Linked DNA regions of Saccharomyces cerevisiae S288C. Changing the gene in region 4 together with the main gene of any one other region gives a genetic interaction. Each region holds a gene or a part of one and is shown on either strand. Other genes may lie near its edges.

Region 1 (7,307 bases), on a different chromosome or scaffold from region 4:
AGTTTTTTTTCAACTTTTTAATAAAGGATTTGGCTTCGAATTCTTCTAAACTATTATCATCAACTGTCAGATCAACGGTTGGAGGGGGCTGGTAATGATTTTGATGGCTATTTCTTGTTGGTAGCACACCAACTGACATCGAAGAAACATTGTTATGATTCAAAACTGACTCTAATTCCTGTATTCTTTTCTTAAGAATCGCCATAGAATCCAACTCTATTTTGGCCTGATATAGCAGCTGCTGTTGTCTTGCACATTTTTCTCTCAACTTTAAACAATGATTTTGATAGTATTGACACTGTTTCGAAAGCCCATTCAGTTGGAATTGGGAAACATTATATAACGACTCCAAAAGTGGGGGCAGTGGCTCAAAAAAAATCCTAATGTCGGTAGGCAGCTGTTTAGATTCCACAAGGTTAATGATGGAGATATCGCTCGAACGGCATATAGGACACACCTTTGATGTTAATGGAGAATGCTGCGAACAGAGGATATGAGCACATGAGGTCAGCCTCAATGGATCTCCATGCGATGTTCTTCTGTGGCAAACACCACAGTAAACAAAGGGCTGTTCAAAAATAGAATCCGGCATTATATATTTCTTTGGTGATATCAATGATAAACGTCTTACCTGTTTCAAGCACTTTTGTTTTTTCTCTCTCATGCTCTTCGTGTTAGTTTGGGGAATGAACACGATCGCCAAATAGCCGCCCATCCCTTGTTGGCCGCCGCACAAAGCGTCAACTTCACAGACGTTTGGCAAACTTCCACAATGCTTCCTTTTCAGATGGAGTAGCCTCCCCGCAAGCTGCCCACCTAATTTTTAACTGCTGGTCCACAAGAAAGACGTATCCAGAAAAGACATTATTGCAAAAGAGCTCTTCCCTGACGGAAAATGGCCATTGGCCTCTAGAACATTCGAAATAAAATGGCTGGCGCCAGGATGGAACGCGATTGGCCCAACGAGCAAGCGTTTTCACTAGAGCACTTTTCACAGCGTTTTCTACAAGATTGACCTCGATGATTTGGACGTTACTGTCATTTAAACTTAAACGCGCATCAGCTTCAGTCAAGTAGTCAGTTTTTTTGTTATCGTCTACGATTCCTTGGAAGTATGAACTACTCAACTTATCGCCAGATGCTGTACTAAATAACCTCACTATACTGGTTTTACCCCTTAACATATCCTCGATATTCTGTTGTTTCGTACCATCCATTGCCGTTCCTATCAAATGAGGAAAAAACAAAGCTTTATCTTCTTTCCAATATGAAACTGGAGCTATAAACAATTTCCCCTTTGTCTTTTGGAAGACTTGCACGTCATAAAGTCCAGATTTGCTGAATTCAACGGCCAACTCTTTAACTCTGTGGTTTGTCTTTTCCGAATCAAACATATCCCTCAAAGAGTTCCCCTGGGAGTATTTGGTGCTTTTCCTTGGTGCTTGTGTTAAGCCTATTGGCTTGACCAGTTGTTTGATCTGGTATTCCTTTGGGGAAGCCGTTGCCATCATAGGCTTGAGGAATTTATCCAAGAAGGACATCCGCGTAAGCGTGGGATGGTAAAACCTTTTAAAAGTGCCCTGCATAGTTAGTTTAAGTTACTCTGATATCGCAAATAAACAAATAACCTGACTTTTACTATATGCTGAAATAGTCCTTTTTAAATATGCACTCTTCCATATTTTTCTGAAGGCGAATCAAATAAATGGTAATAAAAATTTAAATTTCAAAAACGATTTCTAGGCAAGGATATTGTGCGTAAGGAACAAAACAAACGTTTATAGTAGTTTTTATATAGCTGCATAGTGATGTGGCGAGAACTATTAAATATTTCTTACTTCGAAGTTTTATGTACATCGCCTCTGCCTTGCCTTTACACTTTTTAAATTCTTGATTCTGCTCTAGTACAATCTTCACCACTGTTACAAGATCAGGCGTCTCTTTACTAATACCAAGAAGAGGGTGAGATACATGATATTTTATTAAACTGATATTGCCTTGGGTCGGCTGTAATGCAATTAGTCAGGTGGAATCTAATATCACCTAGGGCCTTGGTGAAAATTCTCAGCAAAATGCGGGTTGAGGGTGAGAGAGGGTCCTGGGGAAGGTGCACGCCCTTTTCACAAGAGGTGCGTAAGAGAGAAACAAGCCTTCGACTCTACAGCCCTTCTAACACCGCCACTCAATCAATTAAAAGCAGTCGCACCCATCCAAAAGTAGAATTACATAAACTAGAGGAGAAAAAGCAGCCAGTACAAAGGAGAATTACTTCATTGACCAACGGATATTCTGTGAGTGTTTATATTTAAGATTCTGCTTTTGATTAGAGAAGGTTGAGAACCATACAGTTTGTCAAACCATGGCTCCAAAAATTTCAATATCCTTAAACCCACCGTACAACGGGGAGTTTTATAGCTCTAATGATCAAATGTCAGGGATAGTTAGTCTTCAGTTAACAAAAGCGCTATCTATAAGGAAAATTTCCGTCATTCTAAAAGGATTCTCAGAGACCTTAACAAAAATTGATCAAGAGTACATGTTTCAACAGAATGGCATGATGATGCCGGGCCAAGACAACAAATCCTTTCATACATTAATGAAATTCGAACAGAGAGTTTTCCCTCCAGATAATGTATGGAATGCTCTTGATGGCTCCTCCAAGCCGTTCAAAGTTAAACCAGGTTCATATAATTATAGCTTTCAATTTGACAAGTTTCCCAGAAAGCCTGAATGTCTGAAAAATCATACGGCAAAGACAGTAGCGTTTGTGACAAGAAGTAATGCCCGACTCCCACCTACGTTCAATAGTCATTGGCAAGAATTTAATAAAATCGATAATCTGGATTTGTATTTTTACTCTTTTGGAAAAGTTATATATATGGTGCAAGTTCAATTAGAGCTAGGGAAATCTTCATCTTGGTTTAAGCCATTCCATAAACTGATAAGGGAAATCGAGACGTTCGAATTTATACCTGAGCCAAAAGATCTTATTATAGAACCTGATGAAGATGACAATGAAGAACTTAATGCCTTCAGTAACAATAGTAGAGGAAATAGTATGGTCACCAACAATGAATTTTTCAATAGTTCAAATTTAAAGGTGCCATCAAAGGACGTCAAAGTCGTTAATGGAGTCGGATATATAAAAAGTGACAGGAACTTTTCTCAAGCTAATTCTATATTGATAGAAAACGGCGACATTAGATCGAGACCGGTATCATCAGTCACATCAACAAGACAATCTACTCGCCTAGTAAATGGTATGAAAGTTTTCCCATCTACTTATAAAATGGGGTTGCCTGATGGGGAAAGCAATATGAGAATAGAGGTTAGAAGTCGAGATTTGAAGCAAATATACAGGAAAGACTACTTGTTTAGGTCTGGCAGCCAAAATTTTGACAAGGTCTATGTAGTCATGGAGGGGAATATAGCAAGTTTGAGCAAAATGCAAATTACCCCACTTAAACTACAACTGAACTTGCTAGAGACTACAACATATTTATCTCAGGGAATAGCGAACGGCAATTACTCTTCTTTGAAGCTAATCGAGATTGATTTGAATCAGCTCAAATCCAATAAACCTCTTTTGGACTTAAACGAAATACGAGAAAATTTTGATGGTTCTATGTTTGAATGTGAATTACGGTTAAAGGATCACCCCATTTTAAGAAAGTTGGTATTTAATGAAGAAGACTATAGACATCGCGGCAATAGGTTGTATAGTTTCAAGACATGCACGATAAAAAGAACATTCAGTTTACAGCTACTGATAGAATGGGGAATCAATGGAATTAGGAAGCAATCTGAAGTAAACATTGATCCTGTTCAGATCTTTTGTCAAGTTAGAGAGCACGTTGAAGCTGAAGCTCTGCCCAGATATGTACCGCCACCGACATATACTGAAATGGCGAGTTAAGCGTCGCCAAAAATATTCTGCAAACATATATATTCATGCACATGTGTAACAATGTAAAAAACTTTGAAATGAAAAGAACAAGGAGCTGATCGAAAAAATATTTTTTTGATTTTCATTTAATATAGATTTATATACTTTTATTTGCTCTTTAAGAGAAAAGAAGTCGTAGTGAACTGGAACATAACGAAATAAAGAGGAGTTTTAAAATGTTTTTTGAAGAAATAAAATCATCCGCATCATATAAGAAGAGGAAATAAGAAATATAAAAGATAGATACCTTAACCCATTAGAAATAAAGTGATAGATAATTAGATTAACATAGCGGCAACAGCAGCAATGAAAACGGATTTTCCTGCCTCTAGAACATTACCAGAACCTTCAGAGAAAGTAGAAATAACGGCGGTAGAAGTTGGTAGAGCAGAGGAGACTGTTTCTTGGGACACGGTCGAAGAGGCAGCACTGGAAGAGTGAGCCTCGCTAGTGGAGGAAGCTTGCTTGCTCGAAGAGACATAAGTGGAAGAGGATTCTTCACTGGAAGGAGCCTTGGTGGAAGAAGAAGAGGAAGAAGAGGATTCGGTGGAAGAAGCCTTGCTAGAAGATGGGGCAGCGCTGCTGGAAGAAGCTTTAGTAGAGGAGGAAGCGCTACTGGAAGAAGCCTTGGTAGAGGAGGAAGCGCTACTGGAAGAAGCCTTGGTAGAAGAAGAGGCCTTGCTGGATGAAGAAGCGGATGAGGAGGCACTGCTGCTGGAATCGCCCAATGAAGCATTTTGTTCGGAACAAGAACTCTTGAAAGCAGAATAAGCAGCATCAGCGTCATTGTTTGGGCAGATGGAGTCTAGACATTTCTTGACGGCGGAGTTTTCGTGTTCACAGTAACAGGTGACTTGATTCAAAGAGTCACATGTGGAAGAGGATTTGCCGACTTGCGCAACACAGGCCAATAAACAAGCTGGAGGTGTTGCTAAGACTTCCTTCGACAACAATGCCAAAGAAACGACTGAAGATAATAAAGTGGTGGCACGCATGATAATATATAACGAGTGTTGAACGAGTGTAGTAGTGCTGTGAGCTTTGACCCTGTGTGTATTAACAACTGGCGAAATCTATTTATCATCCCTTTGTTTATAAGTTCGAGAGTGTTTATAAACGGTGAAAAATTCGTGAAAAATTAACGGAAAAATTGTAAAAAAGAAATAATGGGTCCTAATGCATGTGGTGCATGGGTCCAATGCTTCTATAAATAGTAATTTTCCGGGTAATAGGTTTTTGTAACGTTATAATGGCTTTACTATTGATGCTATATACAGGAAAAGAAAGTATAGAGGTATTTTCTAGTACGCTTCCTTACTGTTGTGGTGGAGTAGGAGGTGTAGGTGGTGTAGGTGGTGCAGCTGGTGTGGATGATAAAGACGGCGTGACCTTTAACAGATTTCCGTCCTCGTCGTATTCTGGGATGGGAATGTCCGTTCTCAAGTTTCCATCCTTACGCAATCTATCGATAACAATGGGCTCGAAAAATCTCGTGCCCGTGTAGACTCCCACAAGGCATGCGATACCTATAGTGACCATATCTAAAGTGTTCTTTCGCATATTGCACTGGACTTGACGTTTCTTGTGTTTGTTACTTTTGTCAGTTGAATGACTGAATAACACTACAATTGTTGTATTTTTCAGCCAATCCATTTCTTCATCGCGTTTCCCCTAGTTTATGCGGAAAAGATAGAAGAAGCGCACAGGCAAAATATGATGTAATACAATCAATTGTGGCCAAAAATACAAGAGAAGGGGATGACTGTAGCTGTATTGTCTCTATTCTTTTCAAGGGGTTGTTGATGTACCGTTGCTGAAGGGTTCGCTGTACTATTTAACACCCTTTGGGCTTTCTAGCTTATTGTTTAAGCAGCTTTTATTGGTGGCGTACATACTAAATTGTAAAGGCGCGCGCCGGTCTGTTAATGATGTTGAAATTTTCATTTCGAGGACTTCGCCCTTTTCTTCCTGAATGAATCAGAGAAAGTGAAATCAAATAGTAAGTCAGAACCAACCATTCGGAAGACCTCATTCTTGCTCATTTTGATATTGCTCTGTATGGGCGTATCTCTTTTAGCTTCTTCTTCTGCATTTGTAACTAAACCACTCCTCACTCAATTGGTTCACCTCTCACCTATCAGTCTCAATTTCACCGTAAGACGCTTCAAGCCATTCACGTGCTTATCACGCTATTACACAACAAATCCTTATAATATGACATCCAATTTTAAGACATTCAATCTGGACTTTTTAAAGCCGGATTTAGACGAAAGATCGTATCGGTTTATTGAGCTACCTAATAAGCTGAAGGCTCTGTTGATCCAGGACCCAAAAGCAGATAAAGCAGCAGCGTCGCTAGACGTCAATATTGGCGCCTTTGAAGATCCAAAGAACCTACCTGGATTGGCGCATTTCTGCGAGCATCTTTTATTCATGGGCTCTGAGAAATTTCCAGACGAAAACGAATACTCGAGCTATTTAAGCAAGCACGGTGGTTCATCCAATGCCTACACAGCATCGCAAAACACAAATTATTTTTTTGAGGTTAATCACCAACATTTATTTGGTGCGCTAGACAGGTTTTCAGGGTTTTTCTCTTGTCCTCTTTTCAACAAGGACTCTACTGATAAAGAGATCAACGCCGTTAACAGCGAAAACAAAAAGAACTTACAGAATGATATTTGGAGAATTTACCAATTAGACAAGTCTTTGACCAATACAAAACATCCATATCACAAATTTTCTACAGGAAACATCGAAACTTTGGGCACATTGCCAAAGGAAAATGGACTAAATGTTAGAGATGAACTGTTAAAATTCCATAAGAATTTTTACTCCGCTAACCTAATGAAGCTATGTATTCTTGGTAGAGAAGACCTTGATACTCTCTCTGATTGGACTTATGATCTCTTCAAGGATGTAGCCAATAACGGTCGTGAAGTACCCCTTTATGCGGAACCTATTATGCAGCCTGAGCATTTGCAAAAAATAATTCAAGTCCGTCCTGTGAAAGATTTGAAAAAACTAGAAATCTCTTTCACTGTCCCTGATATGGAGGAACATTGGGAGTCCAAGCCACCGAGGATATTAAGTCATTTAATCGGCCATGAAGGGTCCGGTTCATTACTAGCACATTTGAAAAAATTGGGCTGGGCCAATGAGCTATCTGCTGGTGGGCATACTGTGTCCAAAGGAAATGCTTTTTTTGCTGTCGATATAGATTTAACAGACAACGGGTTGACACACTATCGCGATGTTATTGTCTTGATCTTCCAGTATATTGAAATGTTGAAAAACTCACTACCTCAAAAATGGATATTCAATGAACTGCAAGATATCTCTAATGCTACCTTCAAGTTTA
Region 2 (7,988 bases), on a different chromosome or scaffold from region 4:
ATGATAAATCCAACAAAAAAATAAACGGAAGGAAACTGAAAAGAAAAAAAAAGGAAACGAAGAAAAACATAATTTATCGTTTGATAGCAGTAAGTCGCAGATCAAGTCGCGCCTGTATCCTTACAAACATGACGACATTGAGCTGTACAAAGCTATGACCAACCGTTCCATAATTAACTCTTTTCAACACATTGAAAATAAGACTTCCCCCATCGAAGCATCAAGTTCTTGCATGTCACAAGATACTTGATCGTAACCTCCTGAAGGTCCCTTTCAGAAACACATGGAGTGTAGTTTACTAGGAAGGAAGAAGAGACATCGAAAACTTTTTCACTTTATATAGGTGAGAAAAATGGTGCAAGAGAGCATGACCGTGTATGGTGACATATAAATGGTTGTTGGCAGCGAATTTAACAACACTGCAGATGTAGATGTCGTAGCTATCCTTCTCACGTTGTTGAATGCTGACTATTTTGTTATTAAGCAACGCCTTGTTAGTGCTTGTTTTACAAAGCGTATTAAATGGTATTTTATTTATGCTATCGCTTTATTATCTTTATTTTCATCACGTAACACGGTGTGTGCGCCATATTAATGTTGCAACAGTCGTGAGGTGATTAACAAACAGTATCAGACTAAACTCACCCTTTGGTGATATGCAATTTCTTGAGGCGCAAAAGGTTGATCCTGAAAGCTTTTGTGATAGACTACCTTCAAGCAAAGCGAACGTAAACGGCAAAGATGGATACCAGCAACCACAACCAAGACCACGACTCCCACGTGGCGGCACAGAGGGAGAACGACAATAATTATATGCCACCTTCCCCCTCCATGAGCGAGAGTTCTATGATTTTTGAAAGAAATGTAGAGGACCCATCATACCTTTATAAAACGGTGTCAAACAACGCTGCAAACTCTCTCTCTAGGCAGAGCAGCAGGACCAGTTTGTTCAATCATAATAATTCTAGTAATAGGAACTTCCATAACTTAAGCCAGAGATCGTCTGCTGTGAATCTACATTTGCAACCTTCTAGGACTAATGAGTCAATAGCATCGTACCAGACATACAATCCGGATTTTGTTGTGCAGACTCCACTGGATCACCGTCGTACCTTAGAGAATTTCGTCCCTCCTGCATTAGACGCTGGCTGTTCTATTGTAACTGACGACACGACTGGCCTTGATGACGTTGATATGGTTTATTCGAGAAGGCCATCTACCATCGGCCTGGATAGAGCCCTAGGTAGGACAAGAAGTCTTTCGTCACAATCTTTTGATAACGAAACGTCGCCTGCGCATCCAAGATCTCCCAACGACCATGGTTCAAGACTACTAAGGTTTTATTCCTACGCTGACATGTTGTCCGATGACAACAATAACAACGTTAGTAATGCGACATCAACATCATCAACTGCGAACCCCTTGAGAAGACCCCCAATGCAAGGTCACTACTCGTTCTCGTCGTCCCTTTTGAATTCTCCTTCTCATTTGCCTTCCCCCCCATCAGCTTCGGCATCACCACCTCAGCATATGAACTTCACCAACCCTTTCATCATATCTAGACGTTACTCTAACACAACGATCAACAATGCCAATGGGGGAACCAGCGCTGGAAGCACTACGGGGGCCGCACTATCAAGATCGCCATCGAACCAACAGTACTTACTTAAACAACAAAGGTCACCTTCAGGGAGCGCCCGTTCAAGAAGAAACAGCAATAGGCCCGGCAGTGCTGCCAACATTATGATCGGGAAACCTAAATCCAAATTCCATATGGAATCCAGTGGCAGTGAAGGGTTTTCTTCCGAAGAGGAGGACAACACTATGATTGAAAGAGATAAACTCAATCTAAAGCAAAAATTGCAGTCACAACTGGCACAACCACCATCAATTGCCAACATGGTTAACGATAATCACAATAATACTAATAAACACAAGAATACTATTAATAATAACATCAAAAATAGCCCTGCGTTCACAAACTCGAATCCAAGTTCAAAATCAAATTCAAACTCTACAATAACCTCTATGAATCCAGACACAACCAAATAAAGAAAACTGAAGGGCCGCGATTGTTCATTTCTTCAACCTTCTTCTCCTACTCTAAAAATTCATTTAAGTCTCTTTTTTCCATATATATAGATATATAACGGTATTTTATGTATGCACGTATACCCCAATAATGCCACTAATTTACTCCGTTTTCCAATCCATAATCAGCAAAGACCATATGTGATTTCAAATATAAAAAATGAGAAACATGTGAATATGTATATATGTTATGCGGGAACCAACCCTTTACAATTAGCTATCTAACTAGTCCTTTTTCGAGCTCCAGAATTTACCATCACCCTTATCATTCCATTCTTTGAATTTGTTCTTGGCTTCATCGTACTTTTTCAACGCTTCATCGTACTTCTTTTGGGCCTCATCTTTTAAAGCCTGCTTGTCATTGTCGACCTTGGAAGTCCATCCAGACCACCAGTGGCTGCCGTACTGTTTCAAGTCCTCCTTCGCCTTAGATAACGAGTCCATGGCATCGGACACGTTCTTATCCAGTTGTTTCTTTGAATTCTCATAATTCCATCTTAAATCGTCCATTTCGTCCTTGGAAAGTTGAGCGGCTGTTTCACCCCATCCTTCTAAACCTCTGGCTACCCGTTCAGCAATCTGTTGCTCGCTTTGCTCCCCTTTGTTGTAACCAAACCAGCCCTTTTCCTTGATCTTCTTCAGCTCGTCAAGACGTTTTTGCGCCTCGCTTGGCTCTGAAGAAGCATTTCTCTTGGCTTCCTCCAACTCTTCTCTACCAAACTCCTGTGCCGTATCACCCCAGCCTTGGACACTTCTTGCAGCGGCTTCTTCAGTATTAGCGTCACCCGTGTTATTCTTCAACAGGCGTTTCAAAGGATTACTGTTCCTTTCCTGTTGGTCTAGCTTGTCCGAAAGCTCATTAAAGTCTCTGGCTCTCCCGTACCTTTCGTACTCAATGGATGCTCTGTCCAGAGCGGCCTTCTTCTCTCTCATCACCGTGGACAAGAGCTCCTTCTCATTACGATCCACTGCCTCTTCGAAACGCTTCTTAGCAGTATCAAATTCCCCGATGGCTATGGCTTTCCTTCTTTCAGCCTCACTAAACCCCCAATTGAAGATGCTTTGCGAGGAAGAATCCTTGGCTTTTTGGCCTAGCTGCTTGCGTGTCTGAGCATCCTCTTCCGGTGATATCACACGCTTAGTTACCTTTGGAGCCTCTTCCCTAGCCTTTTGAGATACGCCCAGAAGCGCGTCTTTTAACGACAAGGCATCTTCCTTTATGCCTTGCTTTATGTTATGTAGCTTTCCCAACTGTGGGGGTGCTGAACTGCCGTACTCCTGGCCGTTGTAGTAAGCGGAGACGTTGCCCTCTCTTCTCTGACCCTTGGCCTTCTGTTCTCTGACCATGATGCTAGCTGTGATGGCAGCTGCCAATGCTGCACTGCCGACAATTATTCTTGATGACATCCTTATCTGCTTGTTTTATTAAATGATTAACGTTACTGGCCAATCAAAAATACCCTTTATTTCAAGAAAGGGCAAAGAAGCAGGACTTTAGCAAGAACCGTTTCCCCTTATATATACTCCTCTTCAAGGAACTCGACAAAATAAGGGTCAACAAACTCCTCCCTTAACCCACACGGGCCACCGGCGAGCTTGTGCTCCTGCGAATAGCAGTACACTATTGGTTGTTGCAAATCCTGACGATTCACTTTCAAACACCATGCAGGCAGGAGAGTCAAACAAGACTGTTTGCTGTGTTATTGTCACCGCTGATGGTTGTGATGACCACCGCTTACCTATGACGAGGGGCAACGTCTTCACATTTCATGTTTACCACCAATATGCCAATTATTTTAAGAAATCTGCATAACAGAAGGACGCCAGCTGGCCATAGCATTTATAGATTCCTGCATTAATGTAACCGTCCGCACACCGTATGTATCAGCTTGTCAATTATTATATGAAATGTATATATATTTACGAACTTCAATTTTGTCAACATATTTCTGGAACAAGACTGGCTGGAACGGCTCAGCACACACAGGACAGAATATCAAAATTCTCGAGTACTTTGAGAACCCCCTTCAAGTGAGGTACCACCCTTGGTTGTAGTCTTGTATATTAATCCTTCTTTTCTTTAGTATAAATCGATCCTTTCTATTATACAATTCGCCGGTAATTTTTCAGTGAAAAACGAGTTTTGCAGTCAAACCATTCCTGGATGTGCTATACAAAAAAAAGGTCCGAAGACGTGTAAAGGATATATAACGCCAGGTTGATCATCACTAACCATCATGTCTGATAATTTGTTATCTTTAGAGAATCCGGTGGTGCCTAGTCACTATGAGTTGCGTCTAGAAATTGACCCTAAGCAGTCGTCGCCCAATTTCAAAGGATCCGCCATAATCCATTTGAAATTCAATCCGAACTCCACCACCTTAGCTTCTATCGAAGACAGTTTTACCCAGTTCAAGTTACATTCCAAGGATTTGATTGTGTTGTCTGCACATGCCACCATAGGGTCTACTAAGTTTGATCTAAAAATTTCTCAGGACACTGGAAAGCATTTGTCGATTTTCAACTCTGAATCTCCTATTCAATTGTCCAACGATTGCCCTCTGATTTTGTCCGTGCAATACGTGGGTAAAATTCGTGACATAAAAACACATCATGATAAGACTTTTGGTATTTTCAAAACCAATTTTATGGATCGTAAAACCGGTACTGCCAATAATCACGTCGTTGCTACTCACTGCCAACCGTTTTCCGCTAGCAATATTTTCCCATGTATTGACGAGCCTTCAAACAAGTCCACTTTTCAATTGAACATTGCAACGGATGCACAATATAAAGCCGTTTCCAATACTCCTGTAGAGATGGTCGAAGCTTTGGATAGTTCTCAAAAACATTTGGTGAAATTTGCCAAGACACCTTTGATGACTACTTCCGTATTTGGTTTTTCTATTGGTGATTTAGAATTTTTGAAAACGGAAATCAAGTTGGAAGGTGATAGGACTATTCCCGTTTCAATTTATGCACCTTGGGATATTGCTAATGCAGCTTTCACTTTAGATACAGTCCAGAAATATCTACCTTTGTTGGAATCCTATTTTAAATGTCCATACCCTCTGCCAAAGTTAGATTTCGTCCTACTACCATATTTAAGTGACATGGCAATGGAGAACTTTGGTATGATCACCATCCAACTAAACCACCTGCTCATACCACCAAATGCCTTGGCCAATGAAACCGTCAGAGAGCAAGCACAGCAACTCATTGTCCACGAACTCGTTCATCAATGGATGGGCAACTACATATCTTTTGACTCGTGGGAATCTCTTTGGTTTAATGAGTCTTTCGCTACTTGGTTAGCTTGCCACATACTAGAACAGAATGGTGACCTATCCCATTATTGGACCTCGGAACCTTATTTACTACAGCAAGTGGAGCCGACCATGTGCAGAGATGCAGCTGACGTTAATGGAAGAAGCATATTTCAGATTGCGCAACGGAACACTGGCATAGATTCTCAAACCTCCGATATTTTTGATCCTGAGGCATACACAAAGGGTATTATCATGCTGAGGTCCCTGCAATTGGCTACAGGCGAATCTCATCTACAAAAGGGCCTGGAAAGTGTATTTGAAGATACTAAAACATTTCATGCGAGAAGCGTCAAACCAATGGATATATGGAATCATATCGGAAAATTTTTGAAGTCTCAAAATATTACAAACTTTGTTTCATCTTGGACAAGAACGCCAGGCTTACCTGTCGTTAAGGTCGAAGTAGAAGAGAAAGACGGGAAAACGCAAACAAAATTGACTCAACACAGATTTATCAATCAATTATCTACTGAAGAAAAGGATCAGTTAGAAGATGTCCCATATCAGGTACCCTTATTCGGGGTTCTGCCAGATGGTAAAATGGATACTAAAAATGTACTATTGACGGATAGGACCTTAAAGTTCGATTATCCTATCTTAGTAATTAACCATTTAGCCCAAGGTTATTACCGCGTTTCATATGAGTCCGAAGAGTGCTATGCATTGATTAATGATAAAATAACTGAGGAGACGTTATCCGAGATTGACCTTCGGAAGATTTTCTTAGACTTGTCGCAGTTTATTGGAGATGAGGGTTTCCAGAATTCTATTCATTTGCACGGTCTCTTTAAGATACTAAACCATATCGCTTCTCCTTCCACAAAGATTGCATCAAAATATTGGGATCCTCTTTCCAAGGGGTTGGAAGTTCTGCAAACGATCGATCGTGCCAGTTTAACGAGCTCTAAATTACAATCTTTCTTAAAGAAAAAAATTGTCATTCCCCTTTTCAATAAGATTGATTGGCCCCACGGTGAATTTGATAAAAGCACAAACCCTCACGAGTTGAAAGTCATGTCTCAAGTCTTGTTTTTAAATAAAAACTCCGCAAAATGTGCTGAATTGTGTCAAATTTATTTTAAACATCTATTACAGGGCCCACGTTCGAGCGTACCGTTAGAATTAGTGAACTCAATCCTTGTCGTCGTATCGCAACATTGTGCAAACATCAAGCAGTGGAAGAAAATATTCGATTTGGTGAAACGCAGTTCCTGTACTGGTATCACAAACCATGTCATTAATATGTATGACCAAAACAGTAGCGAAACCGCCATGTTGATTCAAAACGGTGCAATAGAATCTCTTGGATTCTGTTTAGATTCTGATATCGTGAAAAAAACTTTGAATTTTATCACTTCCAATATTGAGTCAGAGGGGATGGAACTGGCATTATTCGGATTTAATTACAACTTTAAGAAGAGGCTGAACAAAAACGAGAAACCTCAAGACCAAGTCGTTCGTGAAACGATCTGGGAGTGGTATATGGGCAATTTTGACCAATGGGCACGGAAGGCTACAAGGAAAGGTACCACCACGGGGGATCATCTACACAAGGCGTTAAGGAGTATTTCCCTGATAATCTTTCAAATGTTTGTAGCAGACGAGCCACAGAAGATAGAAAAGTTTATTAATTTGGAGAAAGAGAAGTTGGGTCAAAGCTTGTTATCTTTGGACGACATCTGGGCCTCTGTCCAGCAAGATGAAGAGTCCAGAAAGACTATAAGAAGAGACTTGGCCTCCTTGGTCTGATTTTTTACAAGTATTTCAACACACTATCGTACGTAGATTTAGTAGTCTTCTAAAATAGTACTATAAACGATGTTCTCTTAGCAGAATTCGAGTTATTATTGTCATATACTACGAAAAACCTGTAGATTCAACAATAATAGGTTGGTATAAAAGAATGTAAACATAAGGAATATTAATCTAGTAATTTTTTTCTCATGAGGTTGAGAAAGCATCTAAAATAGCAATTAGCAAAATGGAGAAGATCAAAGAGAAATTGAATAGCTTAAAATTAGAATCTGAGTCATGGCAAGAAAAATATGAGGAGCTGAGAGAACAGCTCAAAGAATTAGAGCAATCTAACACTGAAAAAGAAAACGAGATTAAATCTTTGTCCGCTAAAAACGAGCAACTCGACAGTGAAGTGGAGAAGTTAGAGAGTCAATTGTCTGATACAAAGCAATTGGCTGAAGACTCCAATAACTTGAGATCTAATAATGAGAACTACACCAAGAAAAACCAGGATCTAGAACAACAGCTAGAAGACAGTGAAGCCAAACTGAAGGAAGCAATGGATAAACTGAAAGAGGCCGATTTGAACTCTGAGCAAATGGGTAGAAGGATCGTTGCTTTGGAAGAAGAAAGAGATGAATGGGAAAAGAAGTGCGAAGAATTCCAAAGCAAATATGAAGAAGCTCAAAAAGAATTGGACGAAATTGCTAATTCATTGGAAAATTTATGATTCCCATTGATAAGACTAAAATTACGGAAGATACAAACGACAAACGCGCTAAAGGCAACGGAGGTGATGATTTTATTATTGCTCACACAACTGATGTTGCT
Region 3 (8,491 bases), on a different chromosome or scaffold from region 4:
CAAGCTGTATCTATACTAGCGTGGTGTGCATAATTATTAGAAATTTCAGAGTGACAGAGGGTCTTTGAGTCGATCCGTAACATCTACATGCTCTTGATTTTTTCAGTAAACTTAGATTCTACAACGTCACATAAATCCATCAAGTCCTTTAGCCCTTTTTGAAGAGCATCCACCGCGGTCGTTTCACCGTAGGTTTGAATTCTGATATTTAATAGGTTTTCAGAAGGATGAGGTATCGAGTAACCACAAAATTCTACGTCTGGATTTTTCATTATAACGTAACGAAGGGCATTTCCAAGCGTGTGATCCTCCTCTACAATTTGAAAAGAGGCACTAGTTCCATCTTCAGATGTTGCCTGTGTGAGAAGCTTAATTTTTTCCCTGTCTGGTTCCTCTTCCTGTTCTTCATCGCCAGTCATATCAACATCCTGTTCTTCTTCTTCTTGGATGTGCTTTGGTTCTTGTGGTGTTACCTCTGTAGCGGTCTTTTTTTGTTCGATGTCTTCAGTCATTTGCCTGGTACTTTATGTGAAGTTCAATTTTTCCGACTTTGGATTGATGGCCTTTCCCCAATTCGTTACTTTATACCTCAGCATTAGTATGGTTTTCTTTTGAAATTTTTTTTTTTTCCAGCTCATCGCAGGTGAATATTTCTATCACTTGTTACGTTTACCATTACCCGGATTGAAGTAAATATGATTCACCCCAATAAAGCTGTACAGAAGAGATAAGATGTAGCTTTATTAGAACAAAGTTTATCACGTTGTTGGTACTTAGAATAATCTATGATATTGTTGCGTCTTTTTGAATAAGCTTTCTTGCGTGCCGTTTTTTTCGGTTTTTTTTTATATTTCTGCCCAAAAAACGTAGTTCAAAGAAAAGGAACTATCCCAAAATAGAAGCAAGTTATGTTTAAGGAATTAAAAAATGTACCTATAAAGCACGTTTTTCTGATATGTATATGCCTATGTAATGTAGAAGTTGTCGAATCAGCAATCGTATTGGTCAACCTTGATGGCATGTTCTCAGCACGTTTTGAAGTGGCTATGCATATATAGTGTTCTTTAATCTATTCCTTGCAAGGCTATTCGGACCCCTAATTTTAACCATCGTGCAGTTTAAAGGGATGAGAGAAAAACTAAAAGTTAGATGCCTTGCTATATTCTATAAGGAGGAAAGGAAAGGAAAGCCATTGAAGAAAGAACTGTAGGCATCAGAGCGAACAGATCATGAAGGCTAATGGTTTAGATAATGATCCGGCAAGGACGGGAATGGAAAGAACAGATATAGATAGTGAACACCCAGAAGCGCAACCGTTGCTGAACAACAACCACCGGACCCTTGGTGCAGGATCCGCGAATGGCCCAGCAGTTAATGAAGGTCGTGACATTGAATCCGATGGGTTCATCAAAGATAGTCTCTTTCAAATTCGCAAAGGTTATAGAATCTTTATTCATAACTCCAAATGGATATTAAATATCCTAATTCTAATTAACACCATCTGGCTAGTCACCACTTTGATTTCAGATTTCTTTTTCAATATCAATATTCTTTTCGGATTCAGTAACAGGTACGCAAGTTTTAACGACTTGACTTTAATATTCATCTCGATCATAGCTAATTCTTTCAATCTCTGGTTTAATAAGCTGGGACTGTACTCAGCTTTAGATTACAGCTTAAATGTAACTCTCTGTGTTTTGACGTTGTTCAATCTAGCATTGACCTATCTAATTAAATACACTAGGCAAAGAATCGGCTTTGTGGGCACGTTTACATATTTGTGGACTTCGTTTTCATTTTTTATTGGGGCAATATTAGATTGGTATCTCTTGTTTTACAACAACTCAATAAATGAGCCATTGGAGGAACGCAGAATTGATGATGCTAATATTAGTACTTTCAACGAAAACCATACAAATAGTACCGAAAACAGGGACAGAAGCCAATATGGCTCTGGGTCGCCAACCCCCACCCACCGCTCGCAGCTGGTCCAAAACAAACATACATTGACAGAATGGGTATCCATTGGGTTCAGGAATACTATTAAGTTTTTAATTTTAATATTCTTCGCTTTATTCACCCTGAATACACTTTTAACGACATTGGATACCTACAGATTGACTCACAAATTACCAATAACCGTTCAGTCGCCCTCGTACGAGGCGTTCCATTACGTAGATGCCGCTAAAACCTATCAGTTGCATATAACTTGTTATGGTGACGTATTTGATCAAGAAAACAACACAGATTTGTCTGAAAATAAGAAGCAACCTATCATCTTGTTTGAACACGGAGGTTATGATACTGGTTACCTTTCTGCCACCTGGATTGAGGAACTATATCATTTAGACAAAATTCAAAGATATTGTCTATACGATAGACCAGGGTACGGGTTGAGCGATTCTCCTCCCGCCCCAATCTCTATTGCGATGGTTGCGGAATCTTTAAGGTACGCATTGATCAAAGATGCAAAAATTAAAGGTCCCTTCACTACAGTAGGATACGACCTTGGCGGGCTATTTACAAGAGTATTTACCGCCAAGAATGTCGATATTGTGGATAGCATGATGCTTGTTGAATCATGGCATGAAGAACTATTGTTAAAAAACTACATTCAAAGATTACTACCTCCAGGCCGTGGTGATGGCGACGATGGCGACGATGGCAATGGTAATGATGGGGATGGCCGCAACCATGATAAGACTTGGTTACCTTCGGAGATAGAAAGGCATAACGAATTTAGATTATGGTGGAAAGGCATTTGGTCGAGTTTAGGATGGAGATTACAGACTTCATGGTTACTAGCTCATCATGGGTCTAAAGAACGTATATATGGGCGTGATATGAAATATCAAGGACGTTTCTTGCGTTCCAAGTTTTTGGAAAGCGTGACGAGTTCAATTCTAAGTTACAGAGATGTGACAAACAATGCAGAATCTTTGCAAAATGTGAAGACAAGCATCGTTAGCTCTAAGGAAATGGTGAAGAAGTCGGCATTATGGGGCGATTGGCAAAGAGATTTGACCAAAATTTCTCACAAGACTCAAGAATGGAAAATAGTTGAAGGTGGGCATGAAATATATAAGTATGGTCTGGGCAAACAACAAACTCAAGAAGTCCTATTAAGATTAATAGGTGAGCTTGGCAAACTAACCGAGGATTAACCGAGTTCTTTACTTTTTTTTTAGTTTTATATGTGAAAGCAAAATTGACTGCCAACGATGGAGGTATTGTATTCCTGAAAACAATAAGTCAAATATGTAAACGGCGCAAATATATAAATACTAAGAGAATAATTAAAATAATATTAAGGTACGAGATGTGGAGTTCGGTGGTTTTTCTTTATTTTTCAAACTGTGTATTTTCTTTGACCTTAAGGATGGCTATCAACATCCTTTGAAGTTTCCATTAAGACGCTAAGTTGATCCACCAGTTGATCACCTTCACTTTCCACATCACTTTCATCTTCCTCGTCACTACTTTCAAAGGAGGCCTCCAAATCACAACTTGATCTACAGTTGGGGCAAACAAATTGCGGATATGAGAGCATGACCAATCTTCTTACACAACGGAAATGCCAGCTATGTGCGCATGGTGATATGAAAATTGCTTGACACGGTTTGATCTTACATAGGCAAATCGAACAATCTTCTTCTTCAATACCTGTAGTTAATTTTTGTAAATTCTGCAAACGCTGTAAAGCTTCTTTGTTGAACGAATTTGCCTTTAGTTTCCATGATCTATTTAGCTCAATCCTCATCCTTACACAACGATAGATTTCTTCCGTGCCACCTCTAAAATCCATTCCTAACTGTAAAATATCACCATCACGAAGAGGGGTATCTTTCGATAAAGAGGAAGCGGGTGAGAGCCTTTGGTGATTTAAGAAAGTTCCACTAGATGATTTCACATCCTTTATATACCAGTTACCTTGAGAGTCAACTTTAAAACAACCATGTGTCCTTGAAACAACTTTGGATTTAAATACAACTGGATGATATTGTTCAGGTATTTTAGAAATTGCATCGCGAACACGCTCAGTATAGCGGCCAATAACCAATTGGGATCCAGGGCCAGCCTTTCTTATAATCGGTTCAAAGAATAAACCTTGATTTGTCGTGGACGAACTATCAATAAATGGGGTTAGTCTTATACTAAAAAGACCATGCTTATCTTTCCTTTGCTTCAAAGTGACCTCATCTACATTGAACATATTGTTTGACTCCTCTGCACTTGTTGCAGGTAAATCCAAATGTAAAATTTCGGTCCCATTTGGCTGGTTTGCAGCATATATCAAGTGACGTAAATTCTTATACATTTCCTGACTGTTGTTAACAATAGTAGATCCATCTGCACCACCGACTATATTTCTCGTTGTAGCCGCTGGCGCCATGGAAATTATCGAGGTTGTGGTATTGTTAGTACCGTTAGGCTGCCGCTGATTCAAAGACTCTTGAACGTTACCAACATTGTTGCCTTCGAAATTATGCGCAGATGATTGCTGGTGGTCTGTGGTTGTAGGGGCAGTGAGAGATATGGAGATGGGGAGTTGATAGTTGCGATGAACGTGGAACTGGGCCGACAGAGGCATTTGTATAGGATGATGCAGACGTGGTTCCTGCTGTTGCGGAGCGGTATCGATACTTTCCATGGCCACACTCATATGTGAGTTAGATGGGGTTGTGCCGAATAGACGCTGATCAGGAGCCGCAGAAGAAGAAGCTGTCTGGCTATTTTGCCTAATTCCGAAGGTATTCAAAAACGAACTGATACCCGACGCCGGACGAGCCCGCTCATTGGATGGAGTACCACTGGCTCTGTTCCTTGGGTTTATGCCACTACTGCTAGTGGTGTTGGCATTTGATGCGGATGAAGAGTTGGACGTCATCGATGAAGTTGGTGCAGTGGGAGCAGGGGTATTAGCAGGGATAGGCGTGTACATTTCCACGGTATATCCTTTGCTGAAAGCTTCAAACGTATACAATGCGTTGCTATACTTTCTCGACTTCTTTTCAAATCAAAATATATGCCCACGTTTGGAGTCATCAAGTATTGTGTTTGAAATTCCACAACAATGGTTGATGCCTTCGCCGTCGACCGTGATACATTAATCTGGCCAAAACAAAAAAAGGAATCATGATAAGATGATTCATTGCTAACTACGAAACGAAGCAATATAAAGATAAGTTTTTGGATTCCGATACATAATCATATAGGCATGAATATATTTTTATATATGTGTACACTGGGGCAAGGGAGATCACAATTTGCTCAAATCAGTGGGCGTCGCCTTAGTGGACACAATTTCGTCGTACAACAATGTAGTCAAAAATTCACTGAATTTCTCGCCTCTGATTTCTGGCAAGAAATACTTAGCGGCCAGCGCGAATTTGTTCTTGTCACCCAATGGACTTGCCTTAGACAGTCTTTCCACTTGTTCTTTTAGAATCTTTTCGGTTAATTCTGGGGTGACCTTTTCTCCCGTGTCCTTTAGAGTAACACCGTGTTTCACCCATTGATACAATTGACAACGAGACACTTCAGCAGTGGCGGCGTCTTCCATCAAGTTGTTGATGGGCACACATCCAGAGCCTCTGAGCCAAGCTTCCATGTACTGCAACCCGATATCCAAGTTTTGTACAATTCCCTCGGTAGTAATCTCACCATTTGGAATTTTGGTTTCCAGCAGATTAGCAGCCGTTACAACGTTTTCAGGAATGAAATAGATTTGGTTTGGTGTTCCCATATTAATGAAAACTTCATTACAAATAGGGGCCAGTGCTGGGTGTGCAACCCATGACCCATCATGTCCATTTGTCAGCTCTCTAATCTTATCATTACGGACTTTAGTCATGGCCTTTTCATTGGCTGCCGGGTCGTCTTTGATAGGGATTTGCGCAGCCATACCACCCATGGCATGAACACCCCTCCGATGACAGGTATTGATTAATCTTTTCACGTATGCATCCATGAATGGGGAAGTCATAGTCACTTGATTTCTATTGGGCAAAATGTGATTAGGATCATTTCTTAATCTCTTGATTGTAGAGAAAATATAGTCCCAACGTCCGCAATTCAACCCACTAGAATGTTGTCTTAATTGATAGATGATCTCTTCCATTTGGAAAGCAGCAGGCAAAGTTTCAATCAACACAGTAGCTCTGATTGTACCCCTTGGGATCCCAATGTAATCTTGAGCTACACAGAAGACGTCGTTCCATAGTTTAGCTTCCAAGTGGTGCTCCATCTTTGGCAAATAGAAGTAAGGACCTTTGCCCAATTTGATTAATTCTTTGGCATTATGGTAGAAATATAAACCAAAATCAAAGATGGAAGCGCTGATTGGTTCATCATCTACATAAAGGTGCTTTTCCACCATGTGCCAACCACGGGGTCTCACGATAATAGTGGGCAAGTTGGCCACATTTCCATTCAATTTGTACGATTTTCTTGGTGTGTCAAAATCGATTTGATTTCTGATCGCGTCGTAGAGATTAACTTGACCGTAAACCATGTTGTTCCAAGTAGGTGAAGCTGAATCTTCAAAATCAGTCATATAGGTGTTCACAGGAGCATTCAAAGCGTTGATCAGCATATTTCTCAATGGAGGCCCTGTGATTTCCGTTGACCTATTAATTAACCCCGGTGCCAAAATTGGACCTTGCCAAGTGGGATCATTTCTAATATTTGCAGTTTCAGGCAGGAAATCCAGATGATAGGAGCCCGAGTCTAATTTCTTCTGAACAACTTGTCTGTTTTCCAATAATTGTTTTCTCTTGTTGTTGAAAGTTCTGTGTAAAAGAACAATGAACTCTAGAGCATCCTTGGTAAGAATATCTCCCACTGTAGTACTAGATGGTTTAAAGAAAGGCTCCTTATCAACATCCACCAGTAATTTGACGTTATCCAAACTGACCTTAACCATTTTCTTAATTCTTTTATGTGCTTTTACTACTTTGTTTAGTTCAAAACAATAGTCGTTATTCTTAGGTACTATAGCATAAGACAAGAAAAGAAAAATAAGGGACAAATAACATTAGCAGAAGTACGGTATATTTTACTGTTACTTATATACTTTCAAGAAGATGAGTTAAATCGGTAGCCAGTGTAGAAAAATAATAATAAGGGTCATCGATCCTTCGCATTTTATTATCCAATTAAAGATACGAATCACGGCAAACTATATTCAAAGCTCATAGATAATCGTCGTAAGGCTGACACTGCAGAAGAAAAGTCATAATTTGAATACTAGCCGGTATGAAACTGTGATTGATTAACCTGGGGTTACCTAAAGAGAACATAAGTAATACTCATGACAGAATCAAAACACAATACAAAATTTATCCGAACCTCGGCCCGACTGCCGGCTCGCCGGGAAAGGGGACAACCGCTTCTATCCGTCGACTAACTTCATCGGCCCAATGGAAGCTATGATATGGGGATTTCCATTGAGCCGATAGCAATGTAGGGTAATACTGTTGCGTATATAGTGATAGTTATTGAATTTTATTACCCTGCGGGAATATTGAGACATCACTAAGCACGAATTTTACGTCTGAGGAAAGTTGAATGATGGCAAAATAACCAGGAAAAACAAATATTGAATCCTTGTGAAGGATTCCACAGTTGTTTAATCCTCCTTAAGCTCACTTAGTATCAATTGTCTAAATAATATTGCTTTGAATCTGAAAAAAATAAAAGTACCTTCGCATTAGACAATGTCACTGCCGCTACGACACGCATTGGAGAACGTTACTTCTGTTGATAGAATTTTAGAGGACTTATTAGTACGTTTTATTATAAATTGTCCGAATGAAGATTTATCGAGTGTCGAGAGAGAGTTATTTCATTTTGAAGAAGCCTCATGGTTTTACACGGATTTCATCAAATTGATGAATCCAACTTTACCCTCCCTAAAGATTAAATCATTTGCTCAATTGATCATAAAACTATGTCCTCTGGTTTGGAAATGGGACATAAGAGTGGATGAGGCACTCCAGCAATTCTCCAAGTATAAGAAAAGTATACCGGTGAGGGGCGCTGCCATATTTAACGAGAACCTGAGTAAAATTTTATTGGTACAGGGTACTGAATCGGATTCTTGGTCATTCCCAAGGGGGAAGATATCTAAAGATGAAAATGACATAGATTGTTGCATTAGAGAAGTGAAAGAAGAAATTGGTTTCGATTTGACGGACTATATTGACGACAACCAATTCATTGAAAGAAATATTCAAGGTAAAAATTACAAAATATTTTTGATATCTGGTGTTTCAGAAGTCTTCAATTTTAAACCTCAAGTTAGAAATGAAATTGATAAGATAGAATGGTTCGATTTTAAGAAAATTTCTAAAACAATGTACAAATCAAATATCAAGTATTATCTGATTAATTCCATGATGAGACCCTTATCAATGTGGTTAAGGCATCAGAGGCAAATAAAAAATGAAGATCAATTGAAATCCTATGCGGAAGAACAATTGAAATTGTT
Region 4 (9,735 bases):
TGGTTCGAACTTTTTGCATTATTGTTGCCTTCTTTTTTTAGTAACAAGCGGCGTCTTTGTTTCTTCTGCAAAAATAATCTCGCTCGAGTAATTGGAGGCTTGGCAAAACTTAAATCTCCACGCATACCCGGCTTCCTATGTTCGTGAAGGACTCAAAAACATGAACTATCCTTATCCATCTTTCTTTTGCCAAATTATTTTAGCCAATCTATATAACACTACATCATTCCTTTGAGTCTTTCTTTATCATTCATTCGAAGGGAGAAATATACGAGCCAAATTCAAAGACAGACTATTTTTTCGAGCAGGCCTATCTCATCAGAAAAAAATTTAATAAAGCTCTAGATAAGCAAACACAATTATTTTCAAAAAAATTTCTGCTAAATGGGTAGAAGAAAAATTGAAATTGAACCTATCAAAGATGATAGAAATCGTACAGTTACTTTCATAAAGCGAAAAGCAGGACTATTTAAAAAGGCTCATGAATTGTCAGTACTTTGCCAAGTAGACATTGCTGTCATTATTTTAGGATCCAATAATACATTCTACGAATACTCTTCTGTTGATATGAGTAACCTGCTTAATGTTCATCAAAACAACACTGATCTTCCTCATAATATCATAGAACCATCTGATTATGGTGACTATGTGAAAAAACCACGTGTTGTTCTGAATGAAAGGAAGCGCAGGCGAAGAAGAGCAACCGTGTTGCAACCAGCTTCCCATTCTGGGAGTTGTACAGTTTCGAGTCAAGATTCCTCCAGTGTACAAAACAATGGGAATTTAAGCGCTCCGTTGGCGTCAAATGACGCCGGGAACGCTGGTGTAAGTACACCATTGGTGCATTGCCACGGAGCAATATCACGTAGCGGATCCAATCATTCTGACTGTGCAAGAAATAGTGCAGATTATCAAATGTTGCAAGGCGGTTTAAATTCTGGTGGGAGTTTTCATGCTAATGATTATAAAGAAAGCGTAGACCAACAGCATGTTGCAAACGAGGCTATTCATAGGAATTTTATGAACAAGAGGATTAGGCCGGATACTCATTTACTACTTTCTGAATCTAACCACTCTAATTATCATAATTTTTACCCGTCGCCTTACGAGAATTTGCCAAAGCCTTCATTGCCTGCAAGTTTAGTGGGCAATATTCCATCCTTTCAATCGCAATTTGTACAGGTTATTCCGGCAAATAGTAACCCAATGGGAAAAGGATTTAATGGGACGGGTGACAGCGAGAGCTTTGAAGCAAAGCAAAAGATACACCCGACAGTTGCTATATCAAATACTTTGGAAGGTCCAGCTCCAGTGCAGGCGATGGTCCATCACCTGCACCAACTGAACAGCAATAGAGGAAAGCTCTCAGGGAAGCCATATTTAAAGCTAAATATTCCGAAGGCCACAAATGACGCTTGCCAGAGGTCGCCAGCAATGTATTCAGGAACCGCATCACCGAAAACGGATGTACAAGCCACTCCCAATCAAATGCTCGCCAGCAACATGTCCTCCCCTCTTTCTCGTTCAAAGTTTTTGGGATTCAAGAACAATGATATGGACGACTTATATCATAATGGCCGATGTGGCAGCACTTATGTAAATAACAAAACATTCTTTCTGAAACCGCCAATTGGAAGACCGCCTAAATTTCCGAAAAGCCCGTCTTCATCTATTGTGGTTTTTCCTTCCTCGGTAGCTAGTTCAACTTTGAAATCCACGAGTTCGACAAACTCTCCAGATTAATGAATCGCTTTCTAGCTACTTTTTACTACAAGAAAGCATTCGCTTAAAATTAAGAGTGTATGTTGGCGCATTTAGGCAAACGTCTTCTAAATTAGGGCTATAGACAATTATGTCGCTCGTACATTTTTCAGATGTAGTGACGCAAATTTCTAGCAATTTGCAGGTAGTGCTCCACGGCCCCCTTCCAATTTTTGTGCACTCAATCGATCAAAACAATAGAGACTGCCCTGTTAACTTCTCAACATAATTATGTAAAAAATTATCTCATTAAGCCAGATAGCAAATATATCACATATTGCATTGATTAATTTGAGAAAAATATACATGTATCTTTTCAGTTAATTTTATTAAAAATAAATTATTTCCTTACTTTTTTTTCTACAGTTTGCACCATTAACCTCTTTTCTTGCATCCATACATCTTTGAACTCCATACATCTTATTTTTTTGCTGTTTTTTTTCAGTGTCTCGGGCATACAGGCCGCTTATCTTCATGCCGGCCCATCATCCTAGGAAACTCTTTCGGTATGGGCCAAGGGCAGGCGAAAATCCTATGTGCGTGGAGCTGATACAATCTCGGCTGGCTTGGTTTGTAGGGCACGGTCAATGAATGCCTGATGGGAGAAAAATTCATCTTTATGAAAAGTGATCTTAATTTGAATAGTGTGCCCTTCAAAACATTTGGAAGTCATTAATTGAAACTATCCAGTGTGAATAGACGACTGAGCCATCATGAAGGTATGTAATATCACCCAAATCCTTAGAATTCTAATGAATCAGCACGCGCTAACCGGCTGTTTCTGACTGTTTGATAAACGTATACCCACAAATTAGTGCACTATAATAAAAATTCTCAAGAACAACGTTGTTTAAACGAGATAATTCCCTCTAATATACACGTACCGACACTTAGGAAAATATCTCGCTAAGTTCAAATTAAGGAATGAAAAAGGAATTTACGAAAAGGGTTTAGAAATATCAATGAAAATAAGAAAAACCTGTAACGGAAGAAAGGACAGCAGGGATTCGTTGGAATTTGTCGATATTGGCTTCGGACAACTTTACTAACAAATGGTATTATTTATAACAGTTGAACATTTCTTACCCAGTCAACGGGTCTCAAAAGACCTTCGAAATTGATGATGAACACCGTATTCGTGTTTTCTTCGACAAGAGAATCGGTCAAGAAGTCGATGGTGAAGCCGTTGGTGATGAATTCAAGGGCTACGTCTTCAAGATCTCTGGTGGTAACGACAAACAAGGTTTCCCAATGAAGCAAGGTGTTTTGTTGCCAACTAGAATCAAGTTGTTGTTGACCAAGAACGTTTCTTGTTACAGACCAAGACGTGATGGTGAAAGAAAGAGAAAGTCCGTCAGAGGTGCCATTGTTGGTCCAGATTTGGCTGTCTTGGCTTTGGTCATTGTCAAGAAGGGTGAACAAGAATTGGAAGGTCTAACTGACACTACTGTTCCAAAGAGATTGGGTCCAAAGAGAGCTAACAACATCAGAAAGTTCTTCGGTTTGTCCAAGGAAGATGACGTTCGTGATTTCGTCATCAGAAGAGAAGTCACCAAGGGTGAAAAGACTTACACCAAGGCTCCAAAGATCCAAAGATTGGTTACTCCTCAAAGATTGCAAAGAAAGAGACACCAAAGAGCTTTGAAGGTCAGAAACGCTCAAGCTCAAAGAGAAGCTGCTGCCGAATACGCTCAATTGTTGGCTAAGAGATTGTCTGAAAGAAAGGCTGAAAAGGCCGAAATCAGAAAGAGAAGAGCTTCTTCTTTGAAGGCTTAAGTATGTCTTGGACCTGCATAATTTTTATACTTTTTCCTTTTAGATATATGTACTTTTGGCTTAATTTAATATAATTAACTATAACTTCGATTTTATTCTTTGAAGGTCCAAATGCACGTAATTCATAAACTTATGATGCATTGTTCTATTTCTTGAAGTCCTTGGGATGAGTGATGAGAAAATTTTCTTGAAAGTTAAATAATATAATAAAATTCTAAAAGTTAAATTTTATAGCTAAACATAAACTATTTCTTAAAATTCTTTGGCAGTATATTTTCTTTGAAAAATGAGAAGATATAATATACCAATCAATGAAATTGAACTGCAGAGACCGAGCCCTGTAAAACACCATCCAATTCCCATTGCGTTACAGAGCTGTAAAATGATAGCGGAACTAATGGCAGCGCCCACATTTCGAAAGAAACTACTAACAGCAACAGTTCCAGCAGCTCTTTTGGGGAATAACTCAGTTAAATATGTCATTGATGTGTTGCTGCACCAGGTCATACCAAAGGCAGTGAGAGCGGAAAAAACTAAAAGAACCACAAAATGATAATGAAAGAAGATTGCCCATCCGTATCCTATTGTGCCACATATTGTTAGTAAAATTCCAATTAGGTTCAGTAATAAACGAAACTCTGCCGGGAATTTCTTTTTAGGATGACTTTTGATCCAGCGTGAACGAAGATAATCTGAGAGGTGCCCACCAGATTGAGATCCTAGTAACATAGCTACACCTGGGCAGACATAAGCAGCACCAATTTCTAACATAGTAAAACGGTAGTCATGTTCAAGGTAATACGAAAACGTGACGCTGAACGCATAGTAACTGGAGAACAGGAGTGCAGTACTGACGGACGTGATTATTATTGGAGGACATTTAATCATTTTCCAATATAGTGTCAAACCTGCTTTAGGCGGCTTTGGAAAATTTTCTTGGAAGAAAGCATCATTATTGACTGGTTTACGGATACCAATGTCTGGGAACAGACGCCGATGTGATATTTTATTACCTTCGAAGAATGGAGATTCGTTATTTTCACGTTCATCTTTTTTGTCACCCCATTTAGGGTCTCCATTACCAACTATACAACGTAGCGTTTCTGGAAGTAAAGCAGTAACCAAGATCAATGCTATTCCTGTCATGATAGAAGTGAAACCAAAAAGCCATCTCCAGTAATTTCCTTTCATTAAAATAAGCCCAGCAACAATGGGTGCTATAATAGGACCCATGTTTGGACCCATCATGAAATACGCTATGGCCTTTCCCCTGTGTTTTGGAGGAACAACGTCTGTTACAGTGCCAGCTCCCAGAGAAATCACAGAGCTGGAAGCGAAAGCTTGGAAAATTCTTAAAACAAAAAGGGCAGCAATATTGACTGGTACAGCGGCCAAAAGTATATTAACAATTAACATTAGTGATAACGACACCATATATAAGAATTTCCTTCCACCAAAATCCGCCAGTGCGCCCCAAAACAATGGACCAACGGAAAAAACAGCCATAAATACAGAAACTGTAGCGTTTATTGTTGTTGCACTTACATCATATTCCCTTTGCAGCAATGGTAAAGCCGGTATATATATGTTTCCAGACATTGGGCCCAAAAATCCTATAAAAATGATAATTCCAAAAATGATTAGTCTTTGATCCTTGGAAAAATAAGTATATGGAATATGTGCTTGAGTATCAGGAGAAGGGTCTCTTGACTGGGAGTTCGATGACTTTACAGCAACTTCCTCTTCTTTTGTTTTTGCTTTCTGTGCTGACAATGATGGGGAAGAGTCAGGGTGCTCATGAAAGACATCATGATCTATATTGGCTCTCTTTTGGTTCACCTGATCCCAGCTTTCATTAATTACATCATCTCCTAGATCTTCTAGCGAATGAAATGTTGAGCGGGTTGTTCCACTTTCTTGCGAATTAATTTGCAGACCCAAATTCTTTTTCTGAAACGGTTCGCTTCCCATTGCCTTAATTCTTTTCCCAGCTCTTGAAACTCTTTTTTGAAAAATTACCAACAACAACTTTTCTTACTACCATCCTTCTAGCCTTATCAATATTCTCATATATCTTAAAATTGCAATTGTTGTTACAAAGGAGTTTGTGTCGTTTTTCACCAGGTGACAGAATGTCTGGGTTGAAAGTATCAATGAAAAAAAAAAATGTAGAGAGATGCCAAAACAGTGGCCAACAGGCAGCTTTGGCTACGGAAATGATTTGGAAACCTGCATAAGTATTTCTCCGCGAAATTGGGAAGAGTGATATGGATAGTTGTGATCCACGGTATATAATTCCTTGTGATCCCTTATCTGGCAAGATAGCTATAGTATTACTAATACGTGGCGCTAGTATAATAACTCGCGCAAAGACCGAACGGAGATTAATATTTAAAAGTTGGTGCGCAGTCCGGGTAAATACAGCTTTTCATGCTGAAGAATATGGCCGGGCTAATATTAATTAAGACGGACGATGCATTATTGAAACAGGATAACGCAGGTTACAGTAGCCCTTAATAAATAAAGCAAAGTACATCCGAACATAGCAACATTATCTGATATCACGGATAGAGGCAAAACGGTAGGCTCATTTAACGATGTCTGAAGGAAAACAACAATTCAAAGACAGCAATAAACCGCACAAGGACTCCACAGATCAGGACGATGATGCCGCCACAATAGTACCACAAACTCTTACTTACTCACGCAACGAAGGTCATTTTTTAGGCAGTAATTTCCATGGAGTAACTGATGACCGTACCACTTTGTTTGATGGTGAAGAGGGGCGTAGGGAGGATGATTTGTTGCCCTCATTGCGTTCCTCCAACTCAAAAGCACACTTAATTTCTTCACAACTTAGCCAGTGGAATTATAACAACAATAGAGTACTTTTAAAAAGATCTATATTAAAGACACAAGCTTTTATGGATCAACTTCAAGAAGAAAATAATATTCGCCCGATTTTTATTGCTGCAAATGATGAACGGGAAAAATTACATGTTCTACAACTGAATATCAAGCTAGATGGTCAGTACAATACCAAAGAAAAGAACGGTTTCAACATTGAGAAAAAAGCTTTATCAAAATTATTTCACTCTCAGATCGTATCAGTGACAAATCATTTAAACGCTTTGAAAAAAAGAGTGGATGACGTTTCATCTAAAGTATTCATCACAGGTGATGTAAATACTGGTAAATCAGCTCTTTGCAACTCTCTATTAAAGCAGCGTTTGCTACCTGAGGATCAGCTACCATGTACCAATGTATTTTCCGAAATACTAGAGGCTCGGGAAAATGACGGCATAGAGGAGGTTCATGCCATACCACTAAACATTGCTCCGACTCTCAAGGAAGCCATTGATATGTATTCAATACAAAATCCCAAGACTTATGAAATACACACTTTGAAAGAACTTCCCGATTTGGTTCCCCAAAACGGAAAATATGCTTTACTGAAGATTTACATAAAGGACGATAAAAGGCCTGCCTCTACTAGTCTATTAAGGAATGGTACTGTTGATATTTCATTAATTGACTCCCCTGGGTTGAACATGGACTCGTTACAAACCGCCGAAGTAATGTCCCGACAAGAAGAAATCGACTTAGTTATATTTGTTGTCAATGCAGAGAACCAGCTAACACTATCTGCCAAGGAGTTTATTTCTTTAGCATCTCGTGAGAAAAAATTAATGTTTTTTGTTGTGAAAAAATTTGACAAAATCAGGGACAAACAACGTTGTAAGGAGTTGATCCTAAAGCAAATCCGTGACCTGTCCCCAGAAACATATAAACGTGCAGCTGATTTTGTCCACTTTGTTTCCAAAAACGGAGATGAATTGCCACATTATCATAATGAAAATGACAATGAAGATCATGGTGACCGAAAACCTGACGACGACCCATATTCTAGCAGCGATCCCGATCCGGATTTTGACAGTCTGGAAGATTCTCTACGCAATTTTGTTTTGAAGAAAAGATCACTTTCTAAATTGTTACCTGCCAAGACTTATCTATCGAAATTATTAAGCGATATAATAATGATCTCCAAATCTAATATGAAAATGTATAGTGAAGAAGAAATAAAAATTAACGAACAACTGGAAACATTGAGACCTGAAATTTTGAGCGCTAGAGCAAAGTGCAATGATTTAACAACTTCCGTTGATCAAATGGCCGAGCAAACAATTACAATGACTTATAACAATACTAAAGAAGCACTTCTCAATGCGTTGGATGTTCCGCTACACGAATATCCGAAATATCAGGGCCTCGGTCAAATTTATGACTTCATATTTTCAACAGAAGCGTTCATAGCAAATCAGATTGATGAGTCAATAGGATCAAGTGAATTATTTGCCAAGCAAAAGACAGATTTACTGGTAAAAAAAATTTATGAGATTGGAAAAAATGAACTTGGTGATGATTTCATGTGTGAACGTGTTTTCAGAAGCGAACTAATGTTTAGAAAAAGGAAGCATTTGATAGGAAAAAGGCTTAAAGTATCTTTGTCAATAACTGATTTGTTTGCTCCAACTTGGAAAGGCTTTTTGTCTTACTTAAGCTGGCAGAAACCTGTCACAGCACCACTGCCGGATATAGAAGGACAAACTAACGAGGGTCAGATTGGCCTAATGAAGTATTTGGGTTTGAAAAATTATCCTTTGACACAATATTGGTCAAGACCATCATTGCTCTTCACATCAAAAATTCCCACTCTAACGCTGTACTTTCTAGGAAGTACAAAGGTTGTGGGGAACATTATATTAAACGGCATTAAATTATCGTCGTGGAGCTCACTCAAGAAGTTATCAGTTCCGGTTATAGTGGTAGGTTCCTTGTTGGGACTTACGTATTTAATTCATGACCTCCCCCGTGCCTTACCAATGAATCTTTCCATTAAATACAAAAGAAAGTTGCAAGAACTGGATTACATTCATCTTAACGCTCAAAGAACCTCAAATGAAGTACGTGATGTTTTGCGTGTACCTACACGTGAAATTCTAAGGTCGTGTGAAATAATTATGGATAAAAAACAAATCACTAAGAAAGAATTGGAAAACAAAAAAGAAAGTAACTTGTTGTCAATCAAATTCTTCCAATCTCTATACGAAGGAACCGTGGCTCAAAAATTGATGGTGGAAGAAATAAATTTAGACATCGATTAGATATTCTTGTAAATATATGAGGTCTTTTCAAATCAATATACATAATGTTACTTATTATTTTATTCCAAGCAGGTCCATTTTTTTTTTCACTTTGCACGAAATTACATAAACATTAAAAGGACCCTTGTGTATCTGCTTAATGATTTGCAAAACCTGCGGAAACGGAACGAAAAATGAGCAATCTCGTTCCGGTTCCGAGATCCTTTTTTTTTTTTAAATCTTGCGCATGTGCAGATTTTAAAAGGCGTCAGATATCGGATGTCCCTGGAAGTAATAGCTCCTCGAGTATTTCCTCCGTTTATTATTAATATGAGCAGTTTTTTAAGTTCTATTATTACATTGATAGTAGTTGCGTAAAAAACAAAGCTCATAAAAGTTTCCGATATGTCAGAAGTTTCCAAATGGCCAGCAATCAACCCATTCCATTGGGGATACAATGGTACAGTTTCGCATATTGTCGGTGAAAATGGTTCCATTAAACTCCATTTAAAAGACAACAAGGAGCAAGTTGATTTTGACGAGTTCGCTAACAAATATGTCCCAACGTTGAAGAATGGTGCCCAATTCAAATTGAGTCCTTACTTGTTCACAGGTATTTTGCAAACTTTGTACTTAGGTGCTGCTGATTTCTCTAAGAAATTTCCTGTATTCTACGGCAGGGAAATTGTCAAATTCTCGGATGGTGGAGTTTGCACCGCTGACTGGCTCATAGATTCATGGAAAAAGGATTATGAATTCGATCAAAGTACTACGAGCTTTGATAAAAAAAAATTTGATAAAGACGAGAAGGCGACACATCCAGAAGGATGGCCTCGTTTACAACCACGTACAAGGTACCTGAAAGATAATGAGTTGGAAGAACTACGGGAGGTTGATCTACCCCTAGTAGTTATTCTACATGGTCTTGCTGGTGGTAGTCATGAGCCGATTATAAGATCTCTTGCTGAAAACCTGTCTCGCAGTGGGAGATTTCAAGTGGTCGTCCTAAATACCAGAGGTTGTGCACGTTCCAAAATTACCACCAGAAATTTAT

What was found.
Region 1: of FZO1 (region 4) and ECM19, a mutation in one rescues a mutant of the other (synthetic rescue), as found in Saccharomyces cerevisiae (one study listed by BioGRID).
Region 2: of FZO1 (region 4) and OM45, extra expression of one rescues a mutant of the other (dosage rescue), as found in Saccharomyces cerevisiae (one study listed by BioGRID).
Region 3: of FZO1 (region 4) and MLS1, changing one suppresses a phenotype caused by changing the other (phenotypic suppression), as found in Saccharomyces cerevisiae (one study listed by BioGRID).

Annotation. Positions count from the first base shown.
Region 1 is NC_001144.5:901,358-908,664, reverse strand, and holds ECM19 (Ecm19p), read right to left. Parts: upstream 5,600-7,307; coding exon 5,261-5,599; downstream 1-5,260. Other genes in the region: SUMO ligase CST9, read right to left, coding at 1-715; ATP10 (Atp10p), read right to left, coding at 747-1,586; ART10 (Art10p), read left to right, coding at 2,360-3,916; CCW14 (Ccw14p), read right to left, coding at 4,225-4,941; STE23 (metalloendopeptidase), read left to right, coding at 6,005-7,307. UniProt on the Saccharomyces cerevisiae protein: May be involved in cell wall organization and biogenesis.
Region 2 is NC_001141.2:89,129-97,116, reverse strand, and holds OM45 (Om45p), read right to left. Parts: upstream 3,499-7,988; coding exon 2,317-3,498; downstream 1-2,316. Other genes in the region: YIL134C-A (uncharacterized protein), read left to right, coding at 392-595; VHS2 (Vhs2p), read left to right, coding at 742-2,052; TMA108 (Tma108p), read left to right, coding at 4,329-7,169; tropomyosin TPM2, read left to right, coding at 7,402-7,887.
Region 3 is NC_001146.8:404,792-413,282, reverse strand, and holds MLS1 (malate synthase MLS1), read right to left. Parts: upstream 6,926-8,491; coding exon 5,261-6,925; downstream 1-5,260. Other genes in the region: DNA-directed RNA polymerase core subunit RPC19, read right to left, coding at 84-512; YNL115C (uncharacterized protein), read left to right, coding at 1,230-3,164; ubiquitin-conjugating protein DMA2, read right to left, coding at 3,374-4,942; DCP2 (decapping enzyme complex catalytic subunit), read left to right, coding at 7,719-8,491. UniProt on the Saccharomyces cerevisiae protein: Malate synthase which takes part in the glyoxylate cycle. MLS1 activity is essential for cells to grow on oleic acid as a sole carbon source.
Region 4 is NC_001134.8:585,514-595,248, reverse strand, and holds FZO1 (mitofusin), read left to right. Parts: upstream 1-6,134; coding exon 6,135-8,702; downstream 8,703-9,735. Other genes in the region: SMP1 (Smp1p), read left to right, coding at 385-1,743; 40S ribosomal protein eS6 RPS6B, read left to right, coding at 2,475-2,480, 2,833-3,537; DTR1 (Dtr1p), read right to left, coding at 3,790-5,508; EHT1 (medium-chain fatty acid ethyl ester synthase/esterase), read left to right, coding at 9,087-9,735. UniProt on the Saccharomyces cerevisiae protein: Essential transmembrane GTPase, which mediates mitochondrial fusion.